Linked DNA regions of Cricetulus griseus. The protein of the gene in region 1 interacts with the protein of each later gene in a pairwise test. Links are inferred from orthologs where the notes say so. Each region holds a gene or a part of one and is shown in the gene's direction. Other genes may lie near its edges.

What was found.
Region 2: the proteins of Ccdc136 (region 1) and Mos interact in binary tests that used the Homo sapiens proteins (3 or more experiments, as listed by UniProt). The two-hybrid records come from large-scale screens. The link is inferred for Cricetulus griseus from reciprocal best matches to the Homo sapiens genes CCDC136 and MOS.
Region 3: the proteins of Ccdc136 (region 1) and Shfl interact in binary tests that used the Homo sapiens proteins (3 or more experiments, as listed by UniProt). The two-hybrid records come from large-scale screens. The link is inferred for Cricetulus griseus from reciprocal best matches to the Homo sapiens genes CCDC136 and SHFL.
Region 4: the proteins of Ccdc136 (region 1) and Atp5po interact in binary tests that used the Homo sapiens proteins (3 or more experiments, as listed by UniProt). The two-hybrid records come from large-scale screens. The link is inferred for Cricetulus griseus from reciprocal best matches to the Homo sapiens genes CCDC136 and ATP5PO.

The regions. Positions count from the first base shown.
Region 1 is NW_023276806.1:198,396,445-198,400,691, reverse strand, and holds part of Ccdc136 (coiled-coil domain-containing protein 136), read left to right. Parts: intron 1-472; coding exon 473-754; intron 755-1,290; coding exon of another isoform or gene 1,291-1,308; exon of another isoform or gene 1,309-1,342; coding exon 1,343-1,484; intron 1,485-1,697; coding exon 1,698-1,861; intron 1,862-4,247. UniProt on the Homo sapiens protein: May play a role in acrosome formation in spermatogenesis and in fertilization.
Region 2 is NC_048595.1:156,238,732-156,242,182, forward strand, and holds Mos (proto-oncogene serine/threonine-protein kinase mos), read left to right. Parts: upstream 1-1,490; coding exon 1,491-2,525; downstream 2,526-3,451.
Region 3 is NC_048597.1:133,743,884-133,748,730, forward strand, and holds the start of Shfl (shiftless antiviral inhibitor of ribosomal frameshifting protein), read left to right. Parts: upstream 1-1,621; coding exon 1,622-1,642; intron 1,643-2,028; coding exon 2,029-2,152; intron 2,153-2,289; coding exon 2,290-2,339; intron 2,340-3,746; coding exon 3,747-3,785; intron 3,786-3,910; coding exon 3,911-4,060; intron 4,061-4,847.
Region 4 is NC_048597.1:5,849,147-5,853,936, forward strand, and holds the start of Atp5po (ATP synthase subunit O, mitochondrial), read left to right. Parts: upstream 1-1,564; 5' UTR 1,565-1,579; coding exon 1,580-1,744; intron 1,745-4,790. UniProt on the Homo sapiens protein: Subunit OSCP, of the mitochondrial membrane ATP synthase complex (F(1)F(0) ATP synthase or Complex V) that produces ATP from ADP in the presence of a proton gradient across the membrane which is generated by electron transport complexes of the respiratory chain.

The DNA.
Region 1 (4,247 bases):
ATTGGTGCTTATTGAACAGACTGTACGCTGCCATAGGCCTAGGAGAACAAAACCTGAGACTAGGGGCAAGGTTATAACTGTGTGTTACCAGGAGGGAGGTGCAGGTGCCCAACCAAGTACATGCACCAATTCCCTAAGTTACTATCTGTTAGAGGAATGGACTGGGTAAAGTAGGAGTTCCTGGAAAAAAGAATTAGATAATAATAAATGCCTGAGGTTCAGACATGGTGGTAGTCCTGTAGTTATTCCCCAGACAGGTCATGATCAAAAACATAATATCTATTGATTTAATACTAGTTTTTTTACCATGCAGACCTTCATTTAACCTCAACTTAGGAGGAAAGCTATCTGCATTAGGTCTCATGGTCTACTTGGAAGCGTTAGCAGGGAGAGTTGCAAGGCAGTGCTCCCTTGAGGGCCTGGGCTGACTGGGTGGGACTGCCATGGATAACTGGAATCCCACCACCCACAGATCAAAGAACTGCAGACTAAGCTGCGGGAGCTGCAGCTTCAGTACCAGGCTAGCATGGATGAGCAGGGGCGGCTTCTGGCCGTGCAGGAGCAGCTGGAGTGTCAGCTACAGTGCTGCCAGGAAGAACTCCGCCAGCTCAGGGAGAACAGGCCCTCTATTAGCTCAGAAGCCAGGGGCAAGAATGTCAATAAGAATGTGAACAAGAATGTCAATGAAGTGAGAAGTAAGAAGACAAGCAAGGCGTGCTCAGAGAGCTCAGAGAGCGACTTTGGGAACGAGAAGGTGAGTTACAGCCTCAGCAGCCAGAGGCAGGTAGATGGAGGAGGCCCTGGGAGGAAACATCATATCCTCTAACAGTTCCTGCCAGGAAAGCTACTTTGAGGAAGGCTTTTGGTACTAGTAATGTCTGCAGGAGTTCTGTCTCTATAAGAGTTTGGCCACTTTTCTGGGTGCTACGGGGAGAATGCCCAACAACTGCTTTCACTAGCCTAAGCTCATCTCTGGGACTCCTTTGTTCCTAGTTACATGATCAAGAGAAAGACCAACTAGACAGAGAGAAAGGAATGTATTCAAGAGGATTGGTTGTGATAAAAATTACCAGGAAGGGTAGGAAGCAACAGTTGAGGAGCAGAGCCCAAGAATCTTGAATTATCGTGAACTGCCTTAAATGGCTTAATGATCGCATAAGAAGCGCTGGTTTAACAAACTAAATGTGACTGCCCTCCATGTCATTCTTGGAAAGATTAGCATACAGTCCCACACTACAGTCCTGCACAGTGGAACTCTGACATGGTACAAGTAGAGCTTTATGTCTGTAGTCTTTTCTTTATCAGTAACAGCGGCCCCACCCTGCCCTGCCTCCACCTGCAGAGTCTGGAGGTGGTACTGTACTACAAGGCCAGCCAGAGGAAATTAGATGAGATAGCGCAAGAGGAAAAAGAGATGGAAGAGGCAAAAGGGAATAAAAAACAAGACAAGAAAAAATCATGTGAACTAGCTACTGAGCCAGCAGATCCTAGGAAAGAGCCTGAGCCTGAGCCTGAGCCTGAGCCTGAGCCTGAGCCTGAACCTGAGCCTGAGCCTGAGCCTGAGCCTGAACCTGAGCCTGAGCCTGAGCCTGAGCCTGAGCCTGAGCCTGAGCCTGAGCCTGAGCCTGAGCCTGAGCCTGAGCCTGAGCCTGAGCCTGAGCCTGAGCCTGAGCCTGAGCCTAAGCCTGAGCCTGAACCTGAGCCTAAGCCTGAGCCTGAGCCTAAGCCTGCAGAAGAGGAGGATGGAGTCTACGAAGAGTACAGACAAGGGCAGGATAAGGAAGCCAGTGAAGATGAGGAGGTTGAGTCTTCTGAGACGGCTGAGGAAGGCAATCCTCTTACGATTTCTGAGAGCAGAAAGGTAACCACAGCCAAGGTGGATGGAGTGGGAATGAGCCTAGGGTTCAGGTGCCTAATTTTCAGAAGTGGTCCTACACTTGTACAAGAGTAGAGGCCAGTGAATATGTGCTGGGGATGGGGATGGGGTTGGTGAAGGCAGTCTTTCTGAGCAAAATGGCAGGCCTAGACTAATTTGCTGTGGAGACATTACACCATGACTGCCTTTTCTCAGAGCCAAAGTGGAGGTCATGTGTACTTTCGCTTACACTGTAGTGCTCAGAACCTCCCTATATCAACAGTGTCCCCTCACCCCTCTCCCTGGCCTCCCTTCTTCATGTCTGCTAGCCTCGGCAAGTCACTTCATCCTGTTTTCCCATGATACCCTGTGAGAGTTCACATGTATTAGTGCTGTGGCTTGCAGACTTGTACCACCCAGTAGGTTTTGCATATTATAGGATGTGAGAGTGTTGGGCCTTGGGAATGAACAGTGAACCCGGTGACACTCAAAGTTTCAGTCTGCACAGCAGGGACACTGGCCAGCCTGCCACGGGTCACTGCTCTAACCCTTTAGTTCCTGGATCTTTGAGAGACTGGGAGGGAGGTGTCTTGGGGTATATGCAGATGGCAGGTAAGGCAGCTGCTTACGGAAGTATTATCATCTTTCAACAACTGGTACATTTCCATAGGTATGTGTCAGCTGAACTCCTACTCTGAGGCTAGTTAGCTAAGTCCCCAGTTTACTGTGCAGAAAACTGTCTCTTGTGATGGACTATCCCACTCACTTTACAGACATCTGGAGTTTTCCGGCACTTCAGTCTACATTACTGGTTCATGATCCAGTATGCAGTTCCCTGTTAACCATGAGGTGGAGGACTTGTTACTTAGGATGTACTTGTTACTTAGTAAGTGACTGTAGCCCTTCACCAGGCCAATGTTTCTTTTGAACTTAACATATTCTACTACGGACTGGTTCAGAGCTCATGGACTTCTTAACCTCAGGGACCACTTTTCTAAGTCTAAGCTTGGCTTTTGTACTTCAGAGTCAAATACATTGTTGATGTCTAGATGCCCTTTTGCCCCAGTGGGTCCTGAATCTTTTGCAGACAGTTCAGCTGGCATTCATGTTATTGCATACAAATTCAGTTGCTCTTTGTAAGTTGTTGCAGGCAAAAAACTAACCTCTTCCATTGTTAGGCTGATGTATTACATCTCACAACTCACAACGCATTAGATTCCTAGGAGATCGTAGGAACCAGAGCTCTGCATACCACTAAAACAGATAGGAAGTAAAGCTGGTAGGTAGCCAGCCTGGCTGAAGATGGGCTCTTTCTGGAGGAATCCAGGAAAAGTATCTACCTGATTTCTGTAAGGAAGCCCACTGTCTTCTCTGAAGCATCACTTTCCCAGAGTGTCTGACTCAAGAAAGATCTAGGTGCAGGTAACTTCTTAACAAGATAGGAGCTGCACATGACTAGAGAGAACACTGGTCCAGATACCTAATTTGGACCTATCTGCTGCTTAACTCCATTTTGCAACTGTTGCAGGCTGCCAGAATGAGGAACCTCTCTGCTCTTCCTAAGGCTCTGGGAGCAGAGAAGAAATGCTATTGCTCCAGCTTATGTGGTTTTTAACCTTTGATTCTTTTCTCTTTTCCCTTTGTTTTCTCATCTTCATTATCTGTTGGATTTGTGTGTTCGTGTCTTTTCATGCAACCACGCGTCTCCCGGTCTCTCCTGTGCTTCTCATTTGACACGTTGCAGTCATCCCCTGCCCCTGATCCCCCCATATTCTCCTTGCCTCTTGTAGGCCTGGTGGTCATATCAGCTCTGCTCTGGTGCTGGTGGGCTGAGACATCGTCCTAACCCAGGTACTGGTATAGCTTCCTCTCTTCCCCCTCAGCCTCTTACTCCTCCCATTATACAATAGGTGATGCTGAGTTTTAGCGCTGGCCTTTTCTTACTTTGCTGCAAAGCCTACAAGCCTTCTTGAGCATGCCATGATATTCATAATGCACAAGTAGTTGGAACGCTTACCAGAGGCATAGTTTGAGTTTCTTTCCTTGGCATATCTCTTTTGCTACCAACAAAGCTGCCAAGCTACTTCTGATGAGCTGATGTCTGCCTGCAAGGCGGGCCTGAGCTTTGTCTTTGTTTAAACCCCAAAGCCAAGCTTTTGCCATTGTTTCAACCCAAAAGGAATTACTCCCTGTGCTTAAGGATGAGAGAGGAGGTCCTAAGAGCTGTGGTCCTGTGGTCCTCTCAGGAACCCTCATTTGGTCCTTCCACTTTGATGGAAGTAGAACTGAATCCCTGCTGAATTATATATTCCTGCTCTAATATTCCTGGTTACCAGAAAAAAATGACAACAGAGTCCCAGGAAATTATGTATGCTTGTGTTCATTCCTTTGG
Region 2 (3,451 bases), on another chromosome or scaffold:
ACATAGAGGGATTCTTTCTCAGCCTAGACACACTGGGGAGGGTCTAGGCCCTGCTCCAAATGATATGACAGACTTTGAAGATCCCCCATGGAAGGCCTCACCTTCCCTGGGGAGCAGAAAGGGATTGGTATAAAGGGGTCGGTCAGGGGCAGGGGAGGAAGGGAGGGAGAGAGAACTTAGATTGACATGTAAAAGAAGCTTGTTTCCAATATAAATAAATAAAAAAGATTATGCCCAAGGTGACAGACTGAACCATATTATTAACATCAAGTAGAAATTTGAAGTTATATGAATTTTGAGTTGTTGATAGAAACGGCTCTCTTTATTAACTTGCCTTCTCAAAACCTGTAGTTCTAAAATCAGAAGCACATAGCTGTCACATAAAAAGTGGTCACTTATCACATGTAAGCAAAAAAGAAAAAAAAAAAAAAAAAGCTTTACCAAGTGCTGAAAAGTGTAGCTCCTGAGCACTTTCAGGGACTGTTTAAATGACAGAGTAAGATTGTTGCTCTCTTCTTTTCCCCCAAAGATATGGCATGAAAATGAGCACTGTATTATGAAAATTGGAAATGATGAGTCTGGTTTGGTGGCCAGGCCCTGAATTTATGTTTAGTGCCTGCTTTTCTGTACTATAGAAGGATTCCAGTGATTCTGTGCCATGTCTGTTCCTCCTGGTTTTCCTGTGCTTATTTACAGCTATGGCCATCACACTCACTTTGTTCCTTTTTCTCTCCCTCCAAGTCTGTGTTAAGTTCCAGTAACTTGTTGGCTGTGGTCTAGAATCTGGGTGACCTGACTTGCCTGGAAAGGAAGGACTGGTAGGAAGTCGGGGTGTTGCTAAGAAGTCTTCTTGCTGTAGAAATCAAATCCATCAGAATCCCCCTTCTGATGAACTTAGGAGGTGTGCATGTTTTGTATCACTGATTCTATTTTGATTAATGACATTAAAGTTACAATTTTTAATTCTTATGAAGGTTGCACCTAATAATCTTGGCAAGTGGTTCGACAAATGCCTGCTATTTGTATTGCAACTCTTGCATCCAATAGCTGCTTGGAGTGATTTAACGCAGCTGAGGAGGACTAGCACTAACAATCATTATAGCCTGAAAAGTGCACAAGTTCACTGTGCTTTTTTTCCTTCTTCAGTCTAAAGACCGATTAATGCTCATCAGATGCTACTTGAAAATCGTTTTCGTTGTATTATGATTAAAGAAATAGTTTAAAGGAGAGGTGAGCCCTGAGGCAGGCCAGTGCTATTTAACCCGTGAGAGGTCGTTTTACTAAGGATTTACTTTAGCCATGCTTCGTCTGCACCCCACCCCCATCTTGCTGAGTGATAGCACAGATGTAGCTCGTTTTGAGAATACAAGGAAGGAGGGAAAGGGGCTAGGGTGAAATCAGGAATCTTCAACCATGCTTCCAGACTCCCCAGGGTTGTTCCTAGTCATTTCTACCTAGTGCCCCTGGTGCCTTTCCTACCTGAAGGTGTGATGCCATCGCCTCTAGCCCTATGTCGCTACCTCCCTGGTGAGTTGTCACCGTCGTTGGACTTGCGACCCTGCAGTAGCCCCTTGGTGGCTCCGGGGAAGGCCGGGAAGCTCTTCCTGGGAGCCACTCCTCCTCGGGCCCCGCGGCTGCCACGCCGGCTGGCCTGGTGTTCCATCGACTGGGAACAGGTATGCCTGCTGCATAGGCTGGGTTCTGGAGGGTTTGGTTCGGTGTACAAAGCCACTTACCACGGTGTTCCTGTGGCCATAAAGCAAGTGAACAAGTGCACCAAGAACCTACGTGCATCCCAGCGGAGTTTCTGGGCTGAACTCAACATTGCAAGACTGCGCCATGACAACATAGTCCGGGTTGTGGCTGCCAGCACGCATACGCCCAAGGGCTCTAACAGCCTGGGTACCATAATCATGGAGTTTGGGGGCAATGTGACTCTACACCAAGTCATCTATGGTGCCACCCGCTCTCCAGGGCCTCTAAGCTGCAGCCGAGAACAACTGAGTTTGGGGAAGTGCCTTAAGTATTCCCTAGATATTGTTAATGGCCTGCTTTTCCTCCACTCACAAAGCATTTTGCACTTGGACCTGAAGCCAGCGAACATTTTGATCAATGAGCAGGACGTCTGTAAGATCAGTGATTTCGGCTGCTCCCAAAAGCTGCAAGATCTGTGGTGCAGCCAGACGCCCCCTCACCACATAGGTGGCACCTACACGCACCAAGCTCCGGAGCTCCTGAAAGGAGAGACCGCCACGCGCAAAGCCGACATCTACTCTTTCGGCATCACCCTCTGGCAGATGACCACCAGGGAGGTGCCATACTCAGGCGAGCCTCAGCAGGTGCAGTACGCTGTGGTGGCCTACAATCTGCGACCGTCCCTGGCGGGGGCAGTGTTCACCTCCTCACCGACGGGGCGGAAGTTGCAGAGCATCCTCCGGAGCTGCTGGGAGGCCCGCGCCCTGCAGAGGCCGGGTGCAGAACTGCTCTTGAGGGACCTGAACGCTTTGCGAGCAGCATTGGGCTGACTCCATCCAGCCTGTGCTTTTTGTTTCTGATTATTTTTAAAGAAGTAAGGGTGGTGTGGAAGAAAACATACCCCTAGGACATAATTTTAGAAAATAAAGTTACTGAAAACTTCAATCTGAAGGGTTTTTTTTTTTTTTTTCCTGAGAATAAGGAGGCTACAGATTTCATGAGCATCACTGCTGGTAACAAACCTGACCCCCTTTATAGTTCTCTGTCCCCTTTCTGGGCTCCTGACCGACTGTATCATCTCCACAATATTGCTGTTAGTTGGATTTGTTACTGAGTGGAAAACAGAAGAGAAAGGGAGGGGAGAGTAAGGAAAGGAGGGAGGGAGGGAGGGAGGAAGGGAGGAAAGAAAGAAGGAAAGAAGGAAAGAAGGAAATGACATGACTACTAATAGGTGTGGTGAAAGAGAAAGTTTATTGTAGATAAAAGGGAGACATAGTCAGAGGCAGGGACATCTGGAAAAGTCCATAGTGAATATGATCCTGAGCCATGGGGGGAGGGGGGAAGAGACGGGAACCAGGTGCAACAATCAGAAGACCCCCCAAAAGGAGAGATAATCAAAATGACTAGATTATATAGGGAGGAGCATCTAGGGGAAGGACAGCCCAGCCCCTGAGCTGGAGAATTTAAAGTAGGGATGGGGTGTACCAGCCAGGCACACCCTGGAACAGGTTGAGAGGGACTAAGGGATGGGGTAGGGGATGCAGGTGTGTCTGCTTTGATATGTTAAATAGGCACCTCAGCCTTTTGTCCTGGATTTGAAACCTAACAGTTACTGATAAAAAACAGTTTTCCAAAAAAAGAATGACACTCCTGACATGCCACATTTTTCTCTGCAAGTGTCACATCTCCCACACCTAAATTCAAGCTTGTTGGCCTGCAACAAAACAAGCACTTTCTAAAGGAATGGTTGTTATCT
Region 3 (4,847 bases), on another chromosome or scaffold:
AGAGATCCACCTGCCTCTGCCTCCCAAGTGCTGGGATTAAAGCCATACACCACCACCACTGCTCTCATCAGGGATTCCTGATTAACGTGCTGGTTTCCTTTCCAACAGGAATATTCCTAGTAGTCGATTGACAGCTCTTATGTTCATTCTATTTCCTGAGGAAATTCTAGCCCATTTCCCCATAATAGCTGTAATATTTCAATATAATTTATTGATGCCGATCCATGTGGAGGTGTTCCTTCCAGGCCCGGGGGGAAACCAGGGTCTCACACACACTGCCCACATGGTTATTAGCCTTTAAATTTGCAATGTGTATTCCCATGAGCCAGAAGTACAAGGTGTTAGGGACCAAGAGTGTGTTTTCTTCACATCCTTACTCTGCCTCCAACCTGCATGAAACTCCAAAGGTCACCCGATGATTGGTGCATTATCTATGTCCCACATTGTGCTGAGTGCCATTAAGTCCCCCTGGAAGACCAAACATGGAGGCTCACATCTGTAATCTCAGTACTGGGGAGACTGAGGCTGAAGGGCCACCAAACCACATTCAAGGCCAGCCTGGGCTATGCTGTGAGACCCTAGGTACACATCTGTGACCCCAGAATTCAGAATGTAGAGGCAGGGGGAGACAGTGACATACAAAGTCCAGGGGAGCCTGGATTAAGGGAGCCGCCTTGAAACTACAGGGCCCTGGAAAGAGGAGGGGGGGTGGGAAGATAGTTTCCACTTCCCTCTGGTGTTGGTTTCCGGTTCACCATTATACCACCATTATCTGCACTTGTGCTATCCACCCTGATTAGTGAAGGAAACCAAGCTTTGAGTGCTCCTGGGTCAAAGTGAGAAACCCAACCCCTGTACCAAAAAGGGCAAGAAAGAGGGTCGCAGCAAGGAAAACCCAGGCAGGCAGGCCTCTTAAATCTAGGGCCCATTCACCGCTCAAGAAGTTCATGAAAGTTGCCCCAAAAAAAGTTCTCTCATTTTGTCCTGGGATATTTTCCTCTTTTCTTTTTTTTTTTTTTCCTTTCTTTTTGAAACAGGGTCCATGTAGCCCAGGACAGCCTTGAACTCTTGCTTCTCCTGCCCCCACTTTCCAAATGCTGAGGTGACCAGTGTGTGTCGCCAAGCCTGGCTTGCGTGCCCATTTTACAGAGGAGGAAACTGAGACTGGCTGGAGGGAGCTAGGGGGAAAAGATGCTGCGGGTAGGAGCCTCTGAGTAGAGCAAAGCTCGCCCGCGGTCTAGGAGGAGCAGCGTGGGAGCACCGAGACCCGCGTCCGCGCGCGGTGCGGCCCCGCCCCCACGGGGGACGTGAAGACGCGGACCCCGCGCAGCGTGGGGACATGTGACCGACTGCAGAGGCCGCGCGCTGCATCCCCGGCCCGGCCGCGCTGCTGCGCAGGACGCGGGGAGGCGCGCGCTGAGGCCGGGAGCACCGCCCCGGGAGCACCGCGGGGCGCGCGAGCAGACACGCAGCCGCACGGCCGGGGCGGGGTCCCCGCGGGGTCCCCAGCTTCGCGCAGAAACGAAACCGAAAGAGGGGACCGAGGGAGGCGGAGCCGCGCCGACGCCACCCAGCCCTGCGGGGCCCGGACCCGGGCGCGGCCAGGTGCGCACCGGCCACCATGGCTCAGGACGGCGTGGAGGTAGGACAGTCGCGCCACCCGAGACAGGCCGCGCGGGGAGGGCTCCGGGGACACCCCGACCCCCTGGGCCGCCTCCCCCTCCGTCCCGGCCGTAGCGGGGCTGCAGGGTCAGAGGTTAGAAGGAAAGGGGGTGACCTGGCCTGCATCCCGGCTCACACGCACGCACGCCAGACCGCAAATTCGCACCCGGCAGGCTGGCACCCGCCGCAGTCTGCACCATCCCCCAATGCCTGGAGAACTTTGGATTTTTCCAGGAAATGGCTTAAAGGGAGGGGGAGGGGAGAGGGTGCGGAGGCCAGAAGCCGGGGTCAAGTTCAGGAGAATGAGGGGCGGGCGCCGCTCCCCAGTCGTCCCCCACACCAGCGCTCACCTCCCCTCCATCCCAGTTGGAGAAGAGCGTCAGGCGCCTCCGGGAGAAGTTTCATGGAAAAGTGTCCCCCAAGAAGGCAGGGGCTCTTATGAGGAAGTTTGGCAGCGACCACACCGGAGTAGGGCGCTCTATCGTGTATGGTGAGTCCGCCCAGGGGGTACTGCGTGGGTGTGGTTGTCGCTCGCTGTAGCGACCCTGGCTCCCCTTGACAGGAGGCTCTCCACCACCTGGAACTCCTACTCACCCTTCAAGAGCCCTTCCCATATTTCCCCACTAGGTGTCAAGCAGAAAGATGGACAGGAGCTGAGCAACGATTTGGACGCTCAGGTAACCTGAACTCCCTCTCTCCTCAAAGAGAGATACTGTGAGAGCCCATCTTGCTATCTAAGTTCCTTCCTTGTCCGAAGCAGCCTGCAAACAGTAGGCGCTCATTATGTGCTGATTGCCTCAGATGGAGGAGGAGACAGGACAGTCGGATAAGGAGGTCCTGGCTGTTGAGGAAGGCTCAAGGAAACTAATTCTACCTTTCACTAGAAGAAAGGCTGGGCTGGCCTGGGGGGGAAAGAGGTCCCAATGGAGGAGAAGGGATAAATTCATAGAATCACTTCTGTGGCTGTACCCTGTGTGCTGAACTTGCTTGAAAGGCTTGCCAAAGTTTTGTTTTGTTTTGTTTTTTTGAGACAGGGTCTCACTATGTAGCCCTGGACTGTCCTGAAACTCACTTTACAGGCCAAGCTGGCTTTGAACTCACAGAGATCCACCTGCCTCTGCCTCCCAAGCACTGGGAATCAAAGGCGTGCACCACCATGCTGGGCACCTAAAAGAATCTGACAAATCATATTCCTTTGGTTTAGGTCTATAAGGAATATGACAAATTAATAATAGAAGGAAGTTGCCTTCATGGAGAGAGCCTGAGGGGCAAACCTCCAGGCCTTGGTTCATTTCATATCCCTTTCTTCTGCTTCCGGGAGGCAATCCTATTACACAAGAAAGCTCAGGCTCATGACATTTCACCAAGTTCTGGGGACCAGCATTTGACTTCAGGGATTCAAATTCTAGCCATTTGCAATGAAGCTCGGGCTCTGAGAGGCCCTTCTGTGAGAACCCTCAAAGAGAGGGACTTGCCCACCATCCCCATCTGGGAGCAATAGAGCAGCCAACCGGTTGCAAGCCCCCAAACTGGAGCCTTTTAAAGCCATGTGGCCAAGGAGCTGAGAGATACCTCAGCTGTTGAGAGCACTTGCTGCTCTCACAGGGGACCCTAATTCCATTCTCAGCACCTACATGGGACAGTTCACAACCACTCCAGTTCCAGGGGTATCTGACACCCTCTTCTGGCCTCTATGGGCACTACACATATGTACATGTACACAGACATACACATTTTTAAACTTTTTAATCTTTAAAAGCTATGTGGCTTCAGTGGCCAGGTGTCACATGTGTGGCCTCTGCAGATTGAAAGGTCATCCAGGGCTCTGGGTTCCATGGGCCACGATCACTGAGTGGGTTCAGATTCTGGGAAATGAGACTAGCCAAGTATTTGCTTCTTAAGGATCTTTGGGACTTCATTCATTGTAGGCACTGGCTCTATCTGTCAACACAGGCAATAATGTTTCATCTCTGTCTGAAGTCCAGGAGCCCCATGCAGGGGCTTCTCCCCCATTCAACATGGGTATAGGACTCCTAGATAGAGCCTTTCCAGTCTCTGTACTCCTTTTCCGTGTCTCCCCTCAGGACCCACCCGAGGACATGAAGCAAGACCGAGATATCCAGGTGTGTTTTTTGGCTGGGATGAGGCAGGATGGATAACTGTCCAAGGTATATAGCAGTAAGGATGGTCGCTGTGGGCTCCACAGGCAGAGGTGACCCTGTTTTGTCCCCATTCATCCATGTTTCAGGCAGTGGCCACCTCTCTGTTGCCCCTGACAAAAGCCAATCTTCGAATGTTCCAAAGAGCCCAAGACGACCTCATCCCTGCCGTGGACCGACAGTTTGCCTGCTCCTCCTGTGACCACGTGTGGTGGCGCCGTGTGCCCCAGAGGAAGGAGGTGGTACCCCAGACTTACTGGATTCCCTCCTGTACTCCACTCCTGTTGTCTGTGTCCAGAAATTATTTTTATGACTGAAGGTCATCAGCTGCATGTGTGTGTTCATTCATGCATTCATTTGTGTGTGTGTGTGTGTGTGTGTGTGTATGTGTGTGTGTGTGTGTGTGTGTGTTCACGCGCCAGCTTGTGCCTGCCTGTATGCATGCAAGCATGAGTGTGCATGTGGAGGCCAGAGTTTGGTGGTGGTATCTTTCTTTCTCAGTTGCCCTCCATCTTTTTTTTTTTAGAGAGAGAGATTTATTTATTATGTATACAACATTCTGCTTCCATGTATATCTGCACACCAGAAGAGGGCACCATGTGGTTGCTGGGAATTGAACTCGGGACTTCTAGAAGAGCAGTCAGTGTTCTTAACCTCTGAGCCATCTCTCCAGCTCCATCTTATTTTTTTTAAACAGGGTCTCTCACCGGTTCAGTTAAGAGGTTGGCTAGCATGGCCCATGAAACCTCCAGTTTCAGCCTGCCCAGCACTAGGGGGTTGTGTGCATTTAGCCATGCCTGGCTCTTAGATGGGTGTTATGGATTTGAACTCAGTCCCATGAGCACAGCAGACTTTACCCACTGAGTCATCTCTCTACCCTTCTGTGTTTTTTTAGGTTTGGGGGCTTATTTATTTTATGCATACTAGTATTTTGCTCCTATGTATGTCAGTACACCACAGTGCCAAATGGGTGCTGAGAACTGAACCTGGGTCCTCTGCAGGAATAACAAATGCCCTTAACCATTG
Region 4 (4,790 bases), on another chromosome or scaffold:
GACTGCTCCTGCAGAAGACCTGTGTTCAGTCCCCAGCACCCACAGGGCAGCTCACAGCTGCCTCTAACTCCAACATCCTTTCCTGGTCTCTCAGACAATATGCACACACATACATAACACACAAACATAGATGCAGGCAAATACTGACACATAAAATAATTCTTTGCCGGCGTTGGTGGCACACGCCTTTAATCCCAGCACTCGGGAGGCAGAGGCAGGCAGATCTCTGTGAGTTCAAGGCCAGCCTGGTCTCCAGAGTGAGTGCCAGGACAGGCTCCAAAGCTGCACAGAGAAACCCTGTCTCAAAAAGCCAAGATAAATAAATAAATAAATAAATAAACTAATTCTTTAAAGACTGTATTCACAGCCCATATATAATTCCATATCCATTTTCCCCTCATATTAAGGCGAAAGAGAAGACACTAAAGTATATAGATAGATAGCTAGATAGATAGATAGACAGACAGATAGATAGATTGTGAATCTCTGTATAAAAAGCACAAACACAAAATGAAGAATTCTGTCAACTATGTACTCATATGTGCTAACATAAATAAATATGTTAAATTTCCTAACATAGTGTAAGGCAGGTACTACACTACTATAATAACAATTTTATAGCTAAGAAAATTGAGGCACAGAAAACTTGTGTGATTATACCAAGGTTACAAAGCTATTAAGATTCAAACCTGGGCACTCTGCCGCCTAAAAAATTTTTTTTCGGTAAACACTTCACCATGATGTTGCCTCTGGGTGGTAGAAAATATCTCTCCATTAAAAAAAGTAATAAAGAAAATGTTATACCCTAAAAGGACAAATCAACTAAATGTATTCCTCTACTAAATCTGAGCAGAAAGCTTTTTTTTTTTTTTTTTTTTTTTTTTTCATGTATAGTGTTCTGTCTGTATGTCTGCTTGCACACCAGCAGAGGGCACCAGATCTCATAACGGATGGTTGTGAGCCACCATGTGGTTGCTAGGAATTGAACTCAGGACCTCTGGAAGAGCAGCCAGTGCTCTTAACCTCCGACAGCTTTTTTCTTTTCTTTTCTCTTTTCTTTTTTTAAGTTTATTCACGCGTTAGAACCAGGAACCCCTGTAGCCGGATCTTTGCTGTGAAGGAGGAAACTGAGAGCCGGCCGGCTGTGCGGACGCAAGGCTCGAGCCAGCTGGCTTTTGACTTTCTGCGTCATCTTTGATTAGAAGCTGGTTCTGGTTCTGATCTCTACCCTGATTGCACACACCGTCCAAGTGTGACAAGCCGCGGAAGGAGCGGGAGAGAACCGGCCCGGGAAGCCTGTCCCAGGAGTGCCCCGCTGCGGGGGTTCGCTCGTGCTTTTGGCTTTCATTTGTTTAAGCGAAGCACGAAGCCTGGCCAGTGAAGCAGGCTACGACACACGGACACACTACACACTACACACTACACACTACGAGGCAACGACACCGGTGATGAGTGTGCAAAGCATCTAAGTGGAAACCCTAAACTAAAGACCGCACATCCACTCCACACGAAGACCCGCTCCGCCAGTAATTGAAGATTTAGTTGGGACGCCCGGCTCCTATGGACTACAACTCCCAGCATGCAAGAGGTTTCCACCCATGCGCCCTGGCACCCGGGGAGCCCATTTCCCAGAGAGCTGAGCGGCCACGCCGGCGCGCGCGTGCGCTCTGGCACCTGTGGGCGCCGCTTGGGAGTGACCTACCTCCGCCGGGGAAAGATGGCCGCGTGCGGGCTGTCCCGACAGGTACAAGGAGCCGGCGGGGGCCCCTGCCCGGGAGCCGGCCCCGGGCCCCGGCGCCGCGTGCGAGGCCGCGGCTGAAGGGTCAGACCGCCCGCCCACCAAGGGCCGTGGAGGTCGGGGAGCGGGCTTGCGCCGTCCTGACCTTGACTTCGGCCGGGGGTCACTGCCAAGGGGCAGCGGGGAAGGCCGCGCGGGCCGCGCCTGTGTGTGAGCCTGTGTGGGGGCTCGCCCGTGTGTGTGTCAGCCTGTGTGTGTGTCAGCCTGTGTGTGAGCCTGAGTGTGTGTCAGCCTGTGTGTGTGTCAGCCTGTGTGTGTGTCAGCCTGTGTGTGTGTGAGCCCGTGTGTGTGTCAGCCTGTGTGTGTGTCAGCCTGTGTGGGGGCTAACCCGTGTGTGAGCCCGTGTGTGTGTCAGCCTGTGTGTGTGTGAGCCCGTGTGTGTGTCAGCCTGTGTGTGTGTGAGCCCGTGTGTGTGTCAGCCTGTGTGTGTGAGCCTGAGTGTGTGTCAGCCTGTGTGTGAGCCTGTGGTGTGTCTAGCCCCTGTCAGCCTGTGTGTGTCAGCCCGCGTGTGTCAGCCTGTGTGTGTTCAGCCTGTGTGGGGCTCGCCCGTGTGTGTGTCAGCCTGTGTGTGTGTGAGCCTGTGTGTCAGCCTGAGTGTGTGTCAGCCTGTGTGTCAGCCTGTGTGTGTGTCAGCCTGTGTGGGGGCTAGCCCGTGTGTGTGTCAACCTGTGTGTGTGTCAGCCTGTGTGGGGGCTCGCCCGCGTGTGTGTCAGCCTGTGTGTGTGTCAGCCTGTGTGTGTGTCAGCCTGAGTGTGTGTGTCAGCCTGTGTGTGTGTCAACCTGTGTGGGGGCTAACCCGTGTGTGAGCCCGTGTGTGTGTCAGCCTGTGTGTGTGTGAGCCCGTGTGTGTGTCAGCCTGTGTGTGTGAGCCTGTGTGTGTGTGAGCCCGTGTGTGTGTCAGCCTGTGTGTGTGTGAGCCCGTGTGTGTGTCAGCCTGTGTGTGAGCCTGTGTGTGTCAGCCTGTGTGTGTGTCAGCCTGTGTGTGTGTCAGCCTGTGTGGGGGCTAGCCCGCATGTGTGTCAGCCCGTGTGTGTGTCAGCCTGTGTGGGGGCTAGCTCGTGTGTGTGTCAGCCTGTGTGTGTGTGAGCCCGCGTGTGTGTCAGCCTGTGTGTCAGCCTGTGTGCTAGGTGTGTGTGTCAGCCTGTGTGTGAGCCCGTGTGTGAGCCTGAGTGTGTGTCAGCCTGTGTGTGAGCCCGTGTGTCAGCCTGTGTGTGTGTGTCAGCCGTGTGTGTGTCAGCCTGTGTGTGTGTCAGCCTGTGTGTCACCTGTGTGGGGGCTAACCCGTGTGTGAGCCCGTGTGTGTGTCAGCCTGTGTGTGTGAGCCCGTGTGTGTGTCAGCCTGTGTGTGTGTGAGCCCGTGTGTGTGTCAGCCCGTGTGTGTGTGAGCCCGCGTGTGTGTGTGAGCCCGCGTGTGTGTCAGCCTGTGTGTGTGTGAGCCTGTGTGTGTCAGCCTGTGTGTGTGTCAGCCTGTGTGTGTGTCAGCCTGTGTGGGGGCTAGCCCGCATGTGTGTCAGCCCGTGTGTGTGTCAGCCTGTGTGGGGGCTAGCTCGTGTGTGTGTCAGCCTGTGTGTGTGTGAGCCCGCGTGTGTGTCAGCCTGTGTGTCAGCCTGTGTGGGGGCTAGCTCGTGTGTGTGTCAGCCTGTGTGGGGGCTAACCCGCGTGTGTGTCAGCCTGTGTGTGTGTGAGCCTGTCTGGGGGCTCGCCCGTGTGTGTGTCAGCCTGTGTGTGTGTGAGCCTGTGTGGGGGCTAGCCCGCGTGTGTGTCAGCCTGTGTGTGAGCCTGTGTGTGTGTCATCCTGTGTGTGTGTCAGCCTGTGTGTGAGCCCGTGTGTGTGTCAGCCTGTGTGTGTGTCAGCCCGTGTGTGTGTGAGCCTGTGTGGGGGCTAGCCCGCGTGTGTGTCAGCCTGTGTGTGAGCCTGTGTGTGTGTCAGCCTGTGTGTGTCAGCCTGTGTGTGAGCCCGTGTGTGTGTCAGCCTGTGTGTGTGTCAGCCGTGTGTGTGTGAGCCTGTGTGGGGGCTAGCCCGCGTGTGTGTCAGCCTGTGTGTGTGTCAGCCTGTGTGTGTGTCAGCCTGTGTGTGAGCCCGTGTGTGTGTCAGCCTGTGTGTGTGTCAGCCGTGTGTGTGTGAGCCTGTGTGTGGCTAGCCCGTGTGTGTGTCAGCCTGTGTGTGTGTGAGCCTGTGTGGGGGCTAGCCCGTGTGTGAGCCCGTGTGTGTGTCAGCCTGTGTGTGTGTCAGCCTGTGTGTCAGCCTGTGTGGGGGCTAGCCCGTGTGTGTGTCAGCCTGTGTGTGAGCCCGTGTGTGAGCCCGTGTGTGAGCCTGTGTGTGTGTGTGTCAGCCTGTGTGTGAGCCTGTGTGTGAGCCTATGTGTGTCAGCCTGTATGTGAGCCTGTGTGTGTGTGTCATCCTGTGTGTCAGCCCGTGTGTGTGTCAGCCTGTGTGTGTGTCAGCCTGTGTGTGAGCCTGTGTGGGGACTAGCCCGTGTGGGGGCTAGCCCGTGTGTGTGTCATCCTGTGTGTGTGTCATCCTGTGTGTGTGTCAGCCTGTGTGTGTGTCAGCCTGTGTGTGTGTCATCCTGTGTGTCAGCCCGTGTGTGTGTCAGCCTGTGTGTGTGTCAGCCTGTGTGTGAGCCTGTGTGGGGCTAGCCCGTGTGGGGGCTAGTCCCTGTGTGTGTGTCAGCCGTGTGTGTGTGTGTGAGCCCGTGTGTGAGCCCGTGTGTGAGCCTGTGTGTGTGTGTGTCAGCCTGTGTGTGAGCCTGTGTGTGTGTCAGCCTGTGTGTGTGTCAGTCTGTGTGTGTGTGAGCCTGTGTGTGGGCTATCCCGTGTGTGTGTGAGCCTGTGTGGGGGCTAGCCCGTGTGTGTGTCAGCCTGTGTGTGTGTGTGTGTGTGTGAGCCTGTGTGTGGGCTATCCCGTGTGTGTGTGAGCCTGTGTCTAGCCCGTGTGTGTGTCAGCCTGTGTGTGTGTCAGTCTGTGTGTGTGTGAGCCTGTGTGTGGGCT